3 linked regions of the Rattus norvegicus genome follow. The main gene of each other region encodes a partner of the protein of the gene in region 2 in a complex. Links are inferred from orthologs where the notes say so. Each region holds a gene or a part of one and is shown on either strand. Other genes may lie near its edges.

The links. The genes of interacting proteins can lie anywhere in the genome.
Region 1: the proteins of Bmp10 (region 2) and Bmpr2 are in contact, whole or in part, in a crystal structure (PDB 7PPA), measured with the Homo sapiens proteins. The link is inferred for Rattus norvegicus from reciprocal best matches to the Homo sapiens genes BMP10 and BMPR2. Residues at the interface, in NP_055297.1 of Homo sapiens: Tyr329, Lys333, Asp338, Ser339, Trp340, Ile342, Ala343, Pro344, Pro345, Gly346, Tyr347, Glu348, Glu395, Pro396, Ile397, Ser398, Ile399, Leu400, Leu402, Val407, Tyr409, Phe411, Ala417; in NP_001195.2 of Homo sapiens: Asp38, Ser64, Tyr67, Leu69, Lys81, Cys84, Trp85, Ser86, Ile88, Gly89, Asp90, Pro91, Gln92, Glu93, Thr103, Thr104, Pro105, Pro106, Ile108, Tyr113, Phe115.
Region 3: the proteins of Bmp10 (region 2) and Acvrl1 are in contact, whole or in part, in a crystal structure (PDB 6SF1), measured with the Homo sapiens proteins. The link is inferred for Rattus norvegicus from reciprocal best matches to the Homo sapiens genes BMP10 and ACVRL1. Residues at the interface, in NP_055297.1 of Homo sapiens: Tyr322, Asn357, Tyr358, Pro359, Ala361, Glu362, His363, Pro366, Thr367, Lys368, Ile371, Leu375, Leu378, Lys379, Ser381, Lys386; in NP_000011.2 of Homo sapiens: His40, Val54, Val56, Arg57, Glu58, Glu59, His66, Gly70, Asn71, Leu72, His73, Glu75, Leu76, Phe84, Val85, His87.

The regions. Positions count from the first base shown.
Region 1 is NC_086027.1:68,734,639-68,739,747, forward strand, and holds part of Bmpr2 (bone morphogenetic protein receptor type-2 precursor), read left to right. Parts: intron 1-2,221; coding exon 2,222-2,392; intron 2,393-3,982; coding exon 3,983-4,153; intron 4,154-5,109. UniProt on the Homo sapiens protein: On ligand binding, forms a receptor complex consisting of two type II and two type I transmembrane serine/threonine kinases.
Region 2 is NC_086022.1:121,427,257-121,432,907, reverse strand, and holds the start of Bmp10 (bone morphogenetic protein 10 precursor), read right to left. Parts: upstream 3,534-5,651; coding exon 3,200-3,533; intron 1-3,199. UniProt on the Homo sapiens protein: Required for maintaining the proliferative activity of embryonic cardiomyocytes by preventing premature activation of the negative cell cycle regulator CDKN1C/p57KIP and maintaining the required expression levels of cardiogenic factors such as MEF2C and NKX2-5.
Region 3 is NC_086025.1:134,126,550-134,131,658, forward strand, and holds part of Acvrl1 (serine/threonine-protein kinase receptor R3 precursor), read left to right. Parts: intron 1-455; coding exon 456-602; intron 603-809; coding exon 810-1,085; intron 1,086-1,224; coding exon 1,225-1,422; intron 1,423-4,357; coding exon 4,358-4,488; intron 4,489-5,109. UniProt on the Homo sapiens protein: Type I receptor for TGF-beta family ligands BMP9/GDF2 and BMP10 and important regulator of normal blood vessel development. On ligand binding, forms a receptor complex consisting of two type II and two type I transmembrane serine/threonine kinases.

The sequences.
Region 1 (5,109 bases), on a different chromosome or scaffold from region 2:
CGATCCTCTTTTATTCCAGTTTCAACTTTCACTTTATTCCTTCTCAGGTTGCCAGATGCCTTAGAACTCTTGTTTGAACTGCAAATTGATTTTCCTTTTCTTGGCTTTTAGCAGTCTCTGAAAACACTTCCCTTCTTTAGCGCACTGATCTTTCCTGAAAGATACAAAGGACTGTCAGAGTCTGCATTCTCATTTCGTGAGCAGCTACTATAGTTTTAAATAGAACCCTTATTCCCGATGTCCTTTCTTCTTAAAATGTGATATTTCTCCAAAGGATGGATATATATATATATATATATATATATATATATATATTCCTTCATGTAAATATATATTCCTTCATGTATATATTTATCTTTAGATGGTATTGGTATTTTCTAGAATTTAAAAGTAGTTTAAAATATATACATCAAGTCACATTTGTTTTTCATTGATTACTATCTGTGGTTTGGTTTGTCAGAATAAACTATATTATGAAAATTTGATAACCGCAATACTATATACCTACTTGTAAACATTCCGCTTACTTGACCTCGTACTTTGAAAGTGCTTCACATAGCAATAAATGTAGCAGGTCTATTTATGTAAACTGGGTGGACAGAGTCATTAAGCCTGTCATTCCTTTTCTGTGCTTCAATTATGTCCAGAAACATTAATTTAATAAATAATATGTATTGTAAAGTGTTCCTGAATCATACTATTCCAATTCTATACACGTCAAATAAAGAACTGATTCAGAAGGTCATAAGAAAGTATTGATTATGTTTAGTGATTATCTTTCCTACTCAGACATATTAGAAAAATCTATTTTAAAAAACCTAAATAAAGATCAGATGGTGCTTTTGATAACCTTTTACCTCCTTGGTACTTTCACAGTGCTGGTTAGTGTTTGTTAATCAGTGAGTCACGTGACAAATGCTTTATTGGAGTCAGCTAAATCACGTAGTATAGATGAAGAAACACAGGTCGGCATTAAACTAAGGAACAACTACCTTACTCCTTGAAGAGCTGCTGTACATTTTGTCCGGCTGTTTTAAGCAAAATAAAATCATTTTCTTTTTGCTCAGAATTCTTGGGCTTTTAGGATTTTTCTTTTCCTTTTTTAAGATTTATTATATATATGTTACACTCATACACACATACTGTAGCTGTCTTCAGACACACCAGAAGAGGGCATCAGATCTCATTGTGAGCCACCATGTGGTTGCTGGGATTTGAACTCAGGACCTCTGGAAGAGCAGTCAGTGCTCTTAACCACTGAACCATCTTTCTAGCCCGGATTTTTGTTTTTGACTGTTCACTTTTTAAGGCACGGTCTCTCTATATAGCCTGACTGGCCGGGAACTAGCTATGTAGACCAAGTTGGTTTGTAACTTAGAGATCTGCTTGCCTCTGCCTCCCAAGTGTTGGATTAAAGGCATCCAATATCATGCCTGGCCTCCTCTGTGTTGGTTTTAAAGGTTAGTTTAGAACATGGTATTTCTCTGTCTCTCTGTCTCTCTGTCTCTCTGTCTCTCTGTCTCTCTCTCTCTCTGTCTCTCTCTCTCTCGTTTGCTCTTCTGGAAGTCACTATGTAGACCAGGTTGGCCTGGAACTTAACAGCTATCCACCAGCCTCTGCCTCCTTCCCTGTCCTTCTGCTGGAATTGAAGGTATATACCACCATGCCCTTGCAGAAGATGGTATTTCTTTTTTTGAACAGCAAAACATATTTAATAATAGAAAGAATGATAAGAATTATATGTGTAAAAGTCTGTCATCAGGGAATATACTTTCTTTAAATTCTTATTGCTTGGATATAAAAATTAATGTCCAAAGGGAATTGCTGGAGGGTGTGGATAAAAGGATGGTTCAGTAGTTAAATGCAAGTGTACTGCTCTTCTAGAGGACCCAAGTTCAGTTCACAGCAACCATGCCAGGCAGCTCACAGTCACCTTAACTCCTGCTACAGGAGCATCCAACGCCTCTGTGGGCACCTGAACTCATATGCACACACACGCTTAAAAAAATGAACATAAATCTTGAAACAGAAAATTTTTGGGTAAATGTAAAATTTAAAATTTATTCAACAATTAAATTTGAAGAATTTAGCAGGAAAATTTATAATCTTACTTAAATTAGATTATCATATATTATTAAATGAAATCTTAAAGATTATTTTAATCAGTAGTATTATCAAAGAAACATCAATTTATCATTGTGTTCTTTGCTCTGTTTTTCAGCTTCCCAGAATCAAGAACGGCTGTGTGCATTTAAAGACCCGTATCAACAAGACCTTGGGATTGGTGAGAGTCGAATCTCTCATGAAAATGGGACAATATTATGCTCCAAAGGGAGCACATGTTATGGTCTGTGGGAGAAATCAAAAGGGGACATCAATCTTGTGAAACAAGGCAAGTAATATTTTTTTAAAAAATTATTTACCTTTTTATTTTATGTGCATCGGTGTTTTGCTTGTATGTATCTCTGTGTGAGAGTCAGATCTTGGGAGTTACAGACACTTGTGAGCTGCCATATGGATGCTGGGATTTGAACCTGGGCCCTCTGGAAGAGCAGTGAGTGCTTCTAACAGCTGAGCCATCTCTCCAGTCCCCAAGTAACACCTTTTTTTTTTTTTTTTTTTTTTTACTTAATTGCTTTGTGCTTTTGTGCTTTTTTTCTTTTGGGTGCTGAGAATCAAACACAGACCATTGCACATAGGCAAGCTCCCTGGCGCAGGGCTATATCTTTAGCATTGTTTTCATACAGTTGGAACTTATCTAGAAAGGACATGTAGGTGGATTGAAATCCTATCCAGTAAATAAGATAAACACATAAATATATCTATAATTCACCCACAAGCTCCAAATTCATAAAAGGAAGTTTACTTTTAGTGTATGTAGTTAGTTTGCTCATTTGCTTGCTTGGCTGAAATAGGGTCTCACTGTGTAGCCCGGCAGGCCTGGAGTTCACAGAGATCTGCCTTCTTCTGCTTCCCAAGTGCTGAGACTAAAGTCATGCTCCACTGTGCCTAGCCTTTTAGTGTGTTTTAATAATGTCTTTCTCTTTACAAGTTAATGTTTGTGAATGAAGTTTGTATAAAAACCCAAAAAACTATTTAGAAAAACCAAGGTCTACAACTCACTTTTCTTAAAAAAAAAAAAAAAAGTTTTGTGTTGATTCCCCCCCCTTGGGTACATTTTTCATGTATTTTAATATTTATATGAGTCCCAGTCTTCTTTTAAAATTAGAATAATGTTATATTATTCCAACCTCTTTTCCCCCATGTTATTGTAAATGCCCTCTGAAGACATGTGTACCTCAGCACTATATTTCACTGTGTATATGTATTACGGTTTACATAAACGCTTTGAACACTATGCTGTTTTAAGGTTTTCACTGAAATGCATATCCAGCAATGGAAACCTTCAAACATATATAAAAGTTGTGTCTGATTGCTTTTTTTTCTCTCTTTTGTTTTTTTTTTTTTTTTTTGGTTCTTTTTTTCGGAGCTGGGGACCGAACCCAGGGCCTTGCGCTTCCTAGGTAAGCGCTCTACCACTGAGCTAACTCCCCAGCCCCTTTCTCATTTTTTTAAAAGTAGATTCTTTAATGTAGAATTAATAGATCATAAAAATATATGGTTATTTTAAAGGCTTTACATTAAAATTGCTATATTTTTCCAAAATTAACACACAAACTGATTACAGAATTGTAAGAGAGTGACTGTCACTGAATCTTTGTTACGATTCCATTAATTTTTTAATTGAGACGATTTAAATCTAAGTGCTCTTTCTTCAATAGTTCTCATAGTAATGGCGCAGCTAATGGTAATCGCTTTGTTGGCTGCCTTCCCCGTGAGATGTCTGTGGAACCCTTTACCATTTTCACTCAGTTTCTTTATGACTGTACTACTTAGTTTTATATGGCTGCTACAGTTACTTCATAATCTGTTGTTTTCCTTACTGTACTGTTTCCTAACTTGCTTTAATATTGATCTGTAGGGTGCTGGTCTCACATTGGTGATCCCCAAGAGTGCCACTATGAAGAATGTGTAGTAACTACCACCCCACCCTCAATTCAGAATGGAACATACCGTTTTTGCTGCTGTAGTACAGACTTATGTAACGTCAACTTCACTGAGAACTTCCCACCTCCTGATACAACACCACTCAGTAAGTATTAACAGGAATTTTTTTTTTAATAATTCCTTGTTCTAGAAGTTTTGAAAACATAACGGATAAACATTCAAGGTTAGTAAAAATTTACCTAAAATCTCCAAAGTAATATACCAGCACCAGCAAAGCTTTGGTGTATTTATTATCAAGTAAGTCTGAATCAAGACATGATTTTCCCTTTGTTTGGCGTTATGATGTGTGCTTGTAATCCCAGAACTCCAGAGGCCAAAGCAGTAGGATTGTAAATTCAAGACAGTCTGAGCTAACTGGTAAGTTCTTACCCAGCCTGGACTACATAAAAGGACCATGTCTCAGCAAACAAAAAATTCAAAACCCTCTTTTTTTTTTTTTTTGGTTCTTTTTTTTTTTCGGAGCTGGGGACCGAACCCAGGGCCTTGCGCTTCCTAGGTAAGCGCTCTACCACTGAGCTAAATCCCCAGCCCCCTTCAAACCCTCTTAAGGAAGGGAATTTGGTGATAGCAAATGAGTGTGATGGTGCAAGCCTTTAATCCTGGCACTTGGGAGGTAGAGGCAGATGGATCTCTATGAGTTTGAAGCCAATGTGGTCTACATAGCAAGTTCTAGACCAGCCAGGACTACACAGTGAGACCCTGTCTGAAAATCAAAATAAAACAACCATAATAATTAGAGAGAGAGAGAGAGAGAGAGAGAGAGAGAGAGAGAGAGAGAGAGAGAGAGAAACTATAACTTAGTTTGGCTTGTGTCTATAGCCACACTCATTCTGGAGGCCAAGGAGGGAGGGTCACTTGAGGTCATATATTCAAGTCTAGTGTGGGAAATAAAGAGAAATCCTAATTCAAGAATCAGACAGCAGCCAGTATGATAACAAATGCCTTTTATTTAGCACTTGGAGGCAGAGGGAGGTGAATCTATATGAATTTGAGAATAGCTTGGTCTACATAGTAAGTTATAGGCCAGCCAGAGCTCCATGG
Region 2 (5,651 bases):
TGAGAGACATTGTAAGCATGTGTCACTGTGCCTGGCCCGATATTAACTTTTTACGTGAGAAATTTACAGAGAACCCAAAGCTCCTGTGTGCTTGTGCTCCAGATGGTTTGCTTGACAGAGTATCCAAGGATTGTGACACCGAAGATGTCAGAGACCTGCCAGGAGCGTTCTCTATTGTCCTTTCCCTAACCTTTCCCTAACTCATGACCTCAGTGGAGTCTCTGATCCATGTTGTGCTTGATATCTTCTTTAGTTGATTGCTTTATATCTACTCTGAAAAGAGCTAAAAGGCTTGCCCGTAAGCTCATAGTCTTATGGGCTCTCAAATGTACATAAATAAAACATGTAGTTATTGTATGTGTCTCACAGCTTCCTCTGGGTGCTAACTGAAAGCATCTTCTCAGTGGTGTGGGGGATACTGATTTATGGGATTGCCCTAACCTCACAGGTGTGGCCAGGGCAACTGTAACCAGTGCTTAAAATTTCAACCAAGCCATGACTCCCGTCCATTCTCCACAGTACCCAGAATACCACAGCTGCTTCATGGGTATTTATGGATCAATTGAATGAGCATTTAACCCTATTGATTAGTAACTTTCCCTCTAAAAAAAAACAAAACTCCTTCCTTCTTTGTTGTGAACCTTTGAAGATGTTCTGATTCTTGAAGAGAAAGCCATCTTCCTTCATATCCACGCTCCACCTTTGGCCTCCCTTTTGAGACATTGGTGCCTTCGAGTCTCCCTCTGAAAGTTTATCCCACTCTGCACTTGCTGTCATAGAAGATCAAAAATGGGAGGACAGGTTCGTTGCTCCTCCATGAGAGAAGCAGTTCCCCTCAGGAATGAAGGAAGCCTTGGGGGAAGTGGGCATGCTCACTGTCTTAGCCGAGGCAGGGGCTTCGGTGGATGTTTACACACAGAAGCACCTAAATTATACATGTTAAATATATCATAGTTCTATGTATATCAGCTATAATCCGGTGAAGTTATACTTTTTAAAAACTAAGCTCACATTAGAGCTTGGACAGGAGGCTTGGACAGGAGGGTGGGTGAGCTTGAGCCAACCTCACCTACACAGCAAAATATGTCTCAAAAGAAATTAATAGTTTATAACTTAAAAAAAAAACCTTAAATATGAGTATTTCAAGGCCAGCCTGGGCTACATGATGAGTTCAAAGCCAGCTTAAAACAAGACAACACAGCACAACATACATGCACCAACCAACCAACCCTTAACTAACTAAATAAAACTACCCATAATTATTTGCATATGTAACACTAGATCATGGAGAAGTCACATTTCAGGGAAAGAAAAATAATGTCCTCCACACGTTTCACATGCAGGACTTTCTGCAAATTGTGTGGCTGTTACAATGATCCCCAACAATGCACACATGGATCCTATTCTAGTTGTGCACCGGAAGAAATCAAACCATCGAGTGCATATCTGACTTCCTAGACAATATGGAGAGTGGAGCCAGGCTAAGAACTGAAGTCCCGGGTTGGGGATTTGGCTCAGTGGTAGAGCGCTTGCCTAGGAAGCGCAAGGCCCTGGGTTCAGTCCCCAGCTCCGGGGAAAGAAAAAAAAAAAAGAACTGAAGTCCCGTCTTCTGCCTTGCATGCTGCACTAGTTCAAACACGAATTAGGTCTGGAGCCCTCTGGGTCATCGCCTAGGGCACAGCACTGAGCAAACACAAAAGGTGAGTATGTGGATGACAGCAGCCAGCAGGGAGAGTCTGCTGAGGGGACACAGGTCCTCTGCTGTGTGAGTCTTCCTCTAGGCTGGCAGAGGTGCGAGGGGTGAGTAGCTGGGTGTCTCCAAGTCTGAGGCTTCCCCATGGATCTCCAGTAATGGTAAGCTGGGTCACATCCTCAATGTTATCACCTGCTCTTCCATGGGAGAAGCAAGGAGCATGCATTCCCACCGTGCCCGAGCTAGACCATGGCTCAGAGCAGGAATCTGAGGCAGGCTCCTTGGGAGGTTGCTCTTTTTCTCCCAGACTTGCCTCCAAAGGAATCTGAAATTTCAGTTCACTGTTTCTACCAGAAATATGTTACTAAGTGGACATGGTGGTCATAGGTTGAATTCTAATAGCAAATACTATCTTACTTCCTCACTCAACCACTCAACCTTCACTCTAGCTCCTAGAATATTAGGCAATTCATTGAAAGTCGCCATGGTTTGTCCAGCATTTCCTTACCGTGAGCCCTCGCTTACCCAGAGCTGCCTGTGATTCCCTCATCTGCACCAAGCAGCTTCTGCTTTACAGGAGGAAGCAGAGGCTACAATCACTTAGACCAGCTCCTCACAACTTCCCAAAGCCGCTAATGCTCGGCAGCCCTGAGCGGTTTTGTGCCACCGCCTTCTGCTTCCAAGAGCGTCTGGTAAATATTCTTCAAATCTCGTTTTAGCTCATCCAGGGACACAATTAGTAAATAATTAAGAGCACAATTAGTAAATGACAAAGAGCCATTTTCTTTATATTCATGGTCTCTGCTGTCAACATTATGTTTTTCTACTGCCACATAAACCTAGCATTAGCTCACTGACTCATTTAGAAATCTGAGGGGAGTGAACAATTTGAAATATGTATATTGCTCTTCATAGAGATCCAGTCACAGTCCGCCGCACCTGTGAACTTCCTGGAGTCTTATTATAAGCAATGCTCCACATGGGAACCTGGTTTATCAAACACAACACAACATGAGAAGAATCTCCCAAATACAGTTCTGTCCTATCAGGACACTGACCAAATGAAGTCAGAAACAAAAACTCGCCTAGAGTTGGAACCAACTAAAAAGCCCAAAATTTCTTTTTTTTATTGTTTTCATCATTTTTGATCTAAAAAGTAATTGACTAATTCTTATCAACACCAGGTGGAAATCGAGTCCCGTCTAGAAAGTGGCAGAGGAGATGGAACGACAGATCGACCTTTATGGTTTTTTGATATGTAGTGTCCAGATTAAAATGACATCGAGAACCTGTTGTGCTATTAAAATGATGGGCCTTTTGTGGGTTTTCATTGGTAGATACTTTACAGCATTTTTGGAGTTCTAGGAGGATCGTGTGGTGCAGCTGATGCACTGTGTCTGAGCCATGGGTTTCCCTTTCCCACCTCATCCCCATGTGGACGCCTCCTTATTTCTCCCTGAGAAAACGCAAAGACAGTCTCCTAGGTGCAAACGCCAGCCAGCCTACCTTCATTCTTGAAGCTCCGGATGATGTTAGCAGATGGCATGGAGGTCCGGTCCGTGGCGAATTTGTTGTAGAGCTCCAGCATGTACTCCGGCGGATCCACTCTGCCTGTGTCCTGTGGGGGAATGTCTGACAGATTCAACGTCTTGAGAAACTCGTCCTTCATGCTCTGCAGCAGTGTGTTGAAGTCAATACCATCTTGTTCTGTGAAGATATCATCAAAGAAGGGCATGTCTTCTTCCAGGGGCGACTGCTCAAGGCCCATGATGGGGCTGCCAGAAGCCAGACGAGCCACCAGGCAGAAGACGGCGCTCAGCGGCAGAACCAGAGAACCCATGACTCTGCTCAGCTCCCCAGGCCAACCTAGGAAGGCTTAACTCCCCTGAGCTGCAACTGGCGGTTTTATCTTGCGGAGTGTAAATGTCTTGTGTCACTGGACACGACACAAGTATGGAAACTCTTCCTCTGTCTTCCCCTCCCCCTCCTCTCTCTCTCTCCTGCCCCTCCTCCCCCTCTTCCCCGCCAAAAGTCAGGTTGCAGTAATTGGTTAGCAAAATCCCCTATAGGGCCTAGCCTCTCTTATCTCCCCAGTGTAAACTTGTACACCAGATTTCATTTTTATCTTGCAACCCCCCTTTTCTTTTAATGAGCATTTTGTAAACACTTCTACATTCTGACACTGGTGAGAGATAGGACAATGTTGTCTTTGCAAAGGCTCTGCTACTTTTCTTCCCGTTTGACTTCCTTTGGTAGGAATGCCTGGATTCTGGGCTTATGGGATTCAGTTTTGCACGTGTGTATGACAGATATTAAGAATCAACAGAATGTTTATTATTAGTCATGCGTGTTGATTCAAGTGATGGGGCTTACATGTCCAAAGATGGACTAAATAGACATAGCCAATGACGTCAAGTCAAGGAGACATCGATCACTCCTAAACAAATTTTGAAGCATTTGCTTTCAGAAACAGGAAAGAATGAATGTCATGGTCATTTCTTCTCTCTCTCTCTCTCTCTCTCTCTCTCTCACACACACACACACACACACACACACACACAGATTTGATCAGTCTGAAGGTAAGCACCTGATTACAGTCAGTTTTGGAGTGGAATGGAGTGAAGACGTTTTCAGAAACCATCTAACATGCTTTGTCTGATAACCCTGTTTTCATCCCTGTCAGGTGCACAGACTCCTGAGGTCCCATGGCTGATCGGAAGCCACTGACCTGTGCAGTCATGAAGCCTTGAGTTAAACCCAGGCAGTCTAATTATTGTGGAACAGAAACGTCCAGACTTTGTAACCCGGATTCCATTGGATCAGGAATGGATGGAAATAGCCACCCCAGCCCACTTGTACCGGGTAGTCAGTGAGGAGGCAGGTACCTGGATGTGGATTCAGGTCCTATGCTTGAGATATCGATTATTTACACGACCTGAACCTCTGTCAAGTTCACCTTCAAGGCTAAGCCCAAAGCTCCACCAGCTTACACATAGCATTACTAAAGAGATAAAAAATGCCAAGCATCTTGGTAAGGGGAGGGGTGTGGGGCTGGTATAATTGAGTATGTGTCCAGTTTAGGAGTAACAAACCAGGCTGACCATTGAGGCCATGCTAATTGGTGGCAGCGGGAGGCACGGTGCTGACACAGTGGCTTTGTAGACAGCTCTAAGGGGTTATTTCCTGCAGGGACAATTATAATGGAATCTCTTCCGCCTGCTCAGTGCGTTCTCTGTGCAATTCTTCAGGCAGCCTCCTGTGTGTTCTGAGGACAGTGCCTAAACCGTTGGTGTGCTAGAATGCCCACTTAGAGTCTTGGTTAAGCTTTTCTTCGCTCTTCTTAATAGGCTAACTGATCCTCACCATTCTCACTACCTCCTCTAGTTCTAGTCGCCCTTGGATTCTTTCTCCTCTTTCCTAGATTTTCACAGTAGGTTTTTGTTTTGTTTGTTTTGTCTTGTTTTCAGCTGTCTTAGGAGGGATCATGTCTTTAGTAGCTGCTGATTGTCTACTTGTCTGGCAGTTGATTGAAATCCAATGTTTCGGTGCCTGTTTCTGCTCAGGTAGCAAAATGGTGATCGTAGATTGGAAATAGATCGATCCTGAGGAGGTGCATGAATGGTGAGTCCCAGACCCACAGCCCACTATACCACCAATGAGGTTAATGCGAGGTTCCGGGAAGCAGTGCAGCAATTCTCCTGGATCATGTGCTGATCAGGACAAGCACCTGTCTACACACACACACACACCAACACACACTCCACAATTCTCAATGGCAGGCACATTTGTGCAATGTGCACCTGCCACAGGGCCTTGGAACACGTGGCTGCACTCCAGTTCCTGGGGTGCACTGATATCAAAGGTCAGAGGGCAGACACACACACACACACACACACACACACACACACACACACACACACACCCATGTTTGGATCCCAGATATGACTGTTATTCATTG
Region 3 (5,109 bases), on a different chromosome or scaffold from region 2:
AATCCCTGCGACGTACTCGTCGAGAGGAGAGAACCATCTTCCTCAGATTGTCCTCTGACCTCCACATGTGATCCCATTTAGTGTGTATCACACACACACACACACACACGAATAAATAAATAAATAAATAAATAAATAAATAAATAAATAAATGAAAAATATTGTGATCTAGAAGGCAGCTGGGGTTTTTGGCACATGCCTTTAATACCAGCACTAGGGAGGCAGAGGCAGGCAGATCTCTGTGAGTCCAAGGCCAGCCTGGTCTACATCGCAAGTTCCAAATCAGCAAGACAAATGAGACCTTATACTTAAAAAAAAAAAAAAGTTAAAAATAAATAAAATCGGATTTTTGCAGAGGGGATCTATCTTCATAGCATCCGGAATTGGGGTGGGGGTTTTTAAGGACTATGTGTGTCTAGTGCGTGGTCCTTATTCTTCCCTTGGCCACGGATTAGGAAAGGGCCGATATGGCGAGGTGTGGCGCGGTTCGTGGCATGGCGAGAGTGTGGCGGTCAAGATTTTCTCCTCACGAGATGAGCAGTCCTGGTTCCGGGAGACAGAGATCTACAACACAGTTCTGCTTAGACACGACAACATCCTAGGCAAGCTAGGGGACATGTCTGCTCTCCCAGGCCAAGGCACCCCAACTCCCTCAACTCAGGGCTGGAATACACCGAACTGGGCATTGATGTAACTCCCAGACCAGCTTCAGCCTTCGGTCTCTGCCCCACCCCTTCTGTGCCTCAGCAGCTCTACCTTCTCACCACTCCTTCCTTCTGGGTACTTTGGTCACACCCTTCTGTTTACAGGCTTCATCGCCTCCGACATGACCTCGCGGAACTCCAGCACGCAGCTGTGGCTTATCACCCACTACCACGAGCATGGCTCCCTCTATGACTTTCTGCAGAGGCAGACGCTGGAGCCCCAGTTGGCCCTGAGGCTGGCTGTGTCCGCGGCCTGCGGCCTGGCGCACCTGCATGTAGAGATCTTTGGCACTCAAGGCAAACCAGCCATCGCCCATCGTGACCTCAAGAGCCGCAACGTGCTGGTCAAGAGCAACTTGCAGTGTTGCATTGCAGACCTGGGTGAGCAGGAGAGAGGGGGTGGGGCTTCACCTGAGGGCGGGGCTTGCATGCTTGGCTCTGCCTGTTTTTGTTCGGGAGAGAATTGGAGTGGTCACCCTGTGTGGGAGCCCTGCAGGACTGACACGCCAAACACCCGCAGGATTGGCTGTGATGCACTCGCAAAGCAGCGATTACCTGGACATTGGTAACAACCCCCGAGTGGGTACCAAGAGATACATGGCACCCGAGGTGCTGGATGAGCAGATCCGCACAGACTGTTTTGAGTCGTACAAGTGGACAGACATCTGGGCCTTCGGCTTAGTGCTATGGGAGATTGCCCGGCGGACCATCATCAATGGTGAGAGCCCACCGTATGCAGGTTGTGTGTGTGCGCGCATGCATGTGTGTATCTGTGTGTGTGTGCATATGTGTATGTGTCTATGCATGCATGCATGCATAAGTGTGTGTGTGTGTGTGTGTGTGTGTGTGTGTGTGTACACGGATGCGCGTATGTGTGTAAATATATGGAGACCTGGTTTTCTGTGGTGGCTGGTCTTTTCTGCCCTTGACCTGATGGTTTGAGGTTAGAGCTCCTAGTTTTCTTTTACTGCTATGAATCGCCTAGTTCAGCACAGATGGACTTTAAGGCTCATCTGAACCTGGGAGGGTGTGGATGTGGCCTTGAAATCTTGAGTTAGAGACAAAAAAAAAATATTCAAAGCTGGAAATATAGTGGTAGAATGCTTGCCCAGCATGTTCAATGCCATAGGTTTTGATCCTGAGCATAGGGGCGGGGCAGGGAAGCAGCTAAGCTAGCTAGCATTTGTGGAGCTTAAATATGTGTCACAATGTATACTCTAACTTGTTGAAGTCTCTTATTTTGGTAAGAGTTGGCATTTGGCCAGTCAGATTGCCTGGACTCAGTTTCAGGTTTTGTCCTGACAGGGAGTACTTAGCCCTGGTGTGCCTCCTTCCTCATTTGTGAAATTAGGAGGAAAAAAAAAGTGTTGTTGCAGACATGATCCAAATTAAGTATTTAGAACAATATCTACAAGCTGGTGTATTCTCAGTACTCATAGGCAGAAGAATTGCTACAAGTTCAAGGCCAGCCTTGAGTTTCAGATCGGCCAGGACTACACAGAGAAGAAAGGCAAACCGTGCCTAGAGCTAAATATTAGTGGTCATAATGAAAGAGCACTTACATATTATTATTCCACTTCCTAAAAGAAAAGACAGAGATGCATGATTGTGGCTGGCTATCTTAAGTCAGGCCATCTGATTCTGGGCCAGTGCTGTCTGTTATTGTGGTAGTTAAATGTTGGTCTTGGTTTCTTCATTCATGTGTAAGCTATCTGGCTTCTGTGCTGCTTGCCTACTGCAGCCTCATTATCACAGTGGATTGCCACAGGAGACCATAACTTGAAAAGACTGTAGAAGCACCTGCCTGTGCAGCCCTGTGCTGGCCTGTGCTCGCCTGTGCTCGCCTGTGCTGGCCTGTGTTGGCCTGCGCTGGCCTGTGCAGCCTTATGCAGCCCTGTGCTGGCCTGTGTTGTCCTGTGCTGACCTGTGCAGCCCTATGCAGCACTGTGCAGCCCTACATAGCCCTGTGCTAGCCTGTGCTGGCCTGTGCAGCCCTATGCAGCCCTATGCAGCCCTTTGCTGGCCTGTGCAACCCTGTGCTGGCCTGTGCTGGCCTATGCTGGCCTGTACAGCCCTGTGTAGCCTTGTGTAGCCCTGTGCAGCCCTGTGCTGGCCTGTGGCTAATGGCCTTTTAACCCTGGGGTAGATGGAGGACCACAGGTTGACTGGACAGCTAACTGCTGCAATGTTAGCGTTTGTGGGGCCTGTCTATGGCCAAGGATGCTGGGAGTCCTGAAAGTTTGCAGACAATCCCGGGCATACTACTAGAGCCCTGCCCCTTGGGACCAGAGATGTTTTCATTTCCTGAGCATCTACTGGCTAGGAGCCAGCCTTTTACAACGTCACTCCTCCTTGGTGGTCATCTGTGACAGCAGAGACCCAGTTGTCACCAGAGAGTCTCCCAGGGGTTCTGATCCCGGGGCATTTACTGCTGGAGTCAGCTCTAAGTGGCTGGAGTTGGGGAAAGGGTACCTGGATGAAACCAAAGAAGTAGGCCTAGCTACGCAGGAAAGGAGGAGCTGATGGATTTGCCTTAGGCTCCTGGGGTGGAGGGGAAGCTCTGTCAGCCTCACACAGACTCCTAGCGCATTATAAACACTGTAATCTGGTGTCAGCCCCGGCACTGATTAAAGGCTCATTAGACACGCTCAGGCCTCTGCAAATCGCTGATTAGGGCGCCGGCGGCACAGGGGCAGCCTGGAAGCCCGCCACGGGGAGAACAGCTGCTGAAGGCTTCATTGAGGTTCTGGTCTTCATGATCACAGAAGCGGCCTGGAGTTGGGAAGGAGGAAGAGACATGGGGCTGCCTCTGACCCCACAGGCACACCTTTCAGAAATGGCTCGGGATAACTAGACATGGGGTGGGGACACCGTTGGTGATGGGGTCTGCAGAGACGTGAACCTTCCCTGACAGTAAGCACATCTTATTTGGACCAGGGAGTAAATCTTTTGCTTCTCGGAGAGGTGTTTTTCTGCTCTTTGTTGCCCTTATTACGTACGAGCCTCATCCAGCCCTACCATAAATGTTGCTGAGAGAGCGGAATCGAGGAATTTGGTGTTGGATTTCCGCCTTAGGTCCCAGTTCTGTCGCTTGCTACCTGTTGATCCTTAAAGACAAAATTTCTGAACATTTGGACCTACTGTTTTTGGTTCAATGCTACAGTCCCCATAGGCCACTGTGAGGCTTGCGGGTAGAGCACTAAGGACCCCTTCTGGCCCACCGGAAGTGCTCTGGGACACACCGGAAGTGCTCCGGAACACCAGCTGTTAGGGTAATCGGGCATCACTCAGGCAGTGGAACCCAGGCGCAGAATGGAAGCTGAGCAAGATGAAAATAAGATCCAGCTTAGGAAGCCAAAAAACGGGTTTCAAGTCCTGACTGTGCCGTGACTGGCTAGGCAACACGAATCCGGTGCTTCTGACTCTAGGCTTCTCCATCTGTGACTCGGGTGGTACCACACAGAGATACCACCAGGAGGACGAATGGGAAATCTTGGAACACAGGCAGTAGTTCTGAGCTATATGCACAGTTACTATATTGTAGGACGGGATCGCTCTCAGGAGAAATATAATCAGGCAGTTAGCCCCAAGCATGGTCATCCTGTGGGTGCTCTGGGTTCCAAGTGATTGTCCCACATCCCTTGAATCCCCAGGCATTGTGGAGGACTACAGGCCACCCTTCTATGACATGGTACCCAATGACCCCAGTTTTGAGGACATGAAAAAGGTGGTGTGTGTTGACCAGCAGACCCCCACCATCCCTAACCGACTGGCAGCAGATCCGGTGAGACCTCTGCTTGGACCAGGGCTGGGCTGGGGCTGGGGCTGGGGCTGGGCTGGGCTGTTCTGGGGCTGGGGCTGGGGCTGGGGCTGGGCTAGGGCTGGGCTGTTCTGGGGCTGGGCTGGGCTGGGGCTGGCCTGGGCTGGACTGGGCTGGGCTGAGCTGGGCTGGGCCGGAGCTGGGGGCTGGGGCTGGGGCTGGGGCTGGGGCTGGGCTGGGGCTGAGCTGGGCTGGGGTTGGGGCTGGGGCTGGGGCTGGGCGGGGCTGGGGCTGGGGCTGGGCTGGCTGGGCTGGGGCTGGGTTGGCATGGGTGGAGATTGATTCTCAGCTGAATTTCTGAGTTCAGGATCTTGGCTCTACAACCTCTGATTCTTGGATAGATTGTGGGTTGTTCTGGGTATTCCCCCCTACACACCTGGCTTGCGGAACCTTCGTCCTTCTCGGACCTTTCAGTCAATCTGATTTTATAACCTTTTTACCTCACTTGCAAGAATCAAAACCTCTCTGCTAAACTTCTCCTATCTGGCTTTTGTTGTTGATGATGATTTTTTTTTTCCCTCAAGACATTCCATACTTAAAGAAATACATGTATATATAAACACACACACTCAGACATATATACAC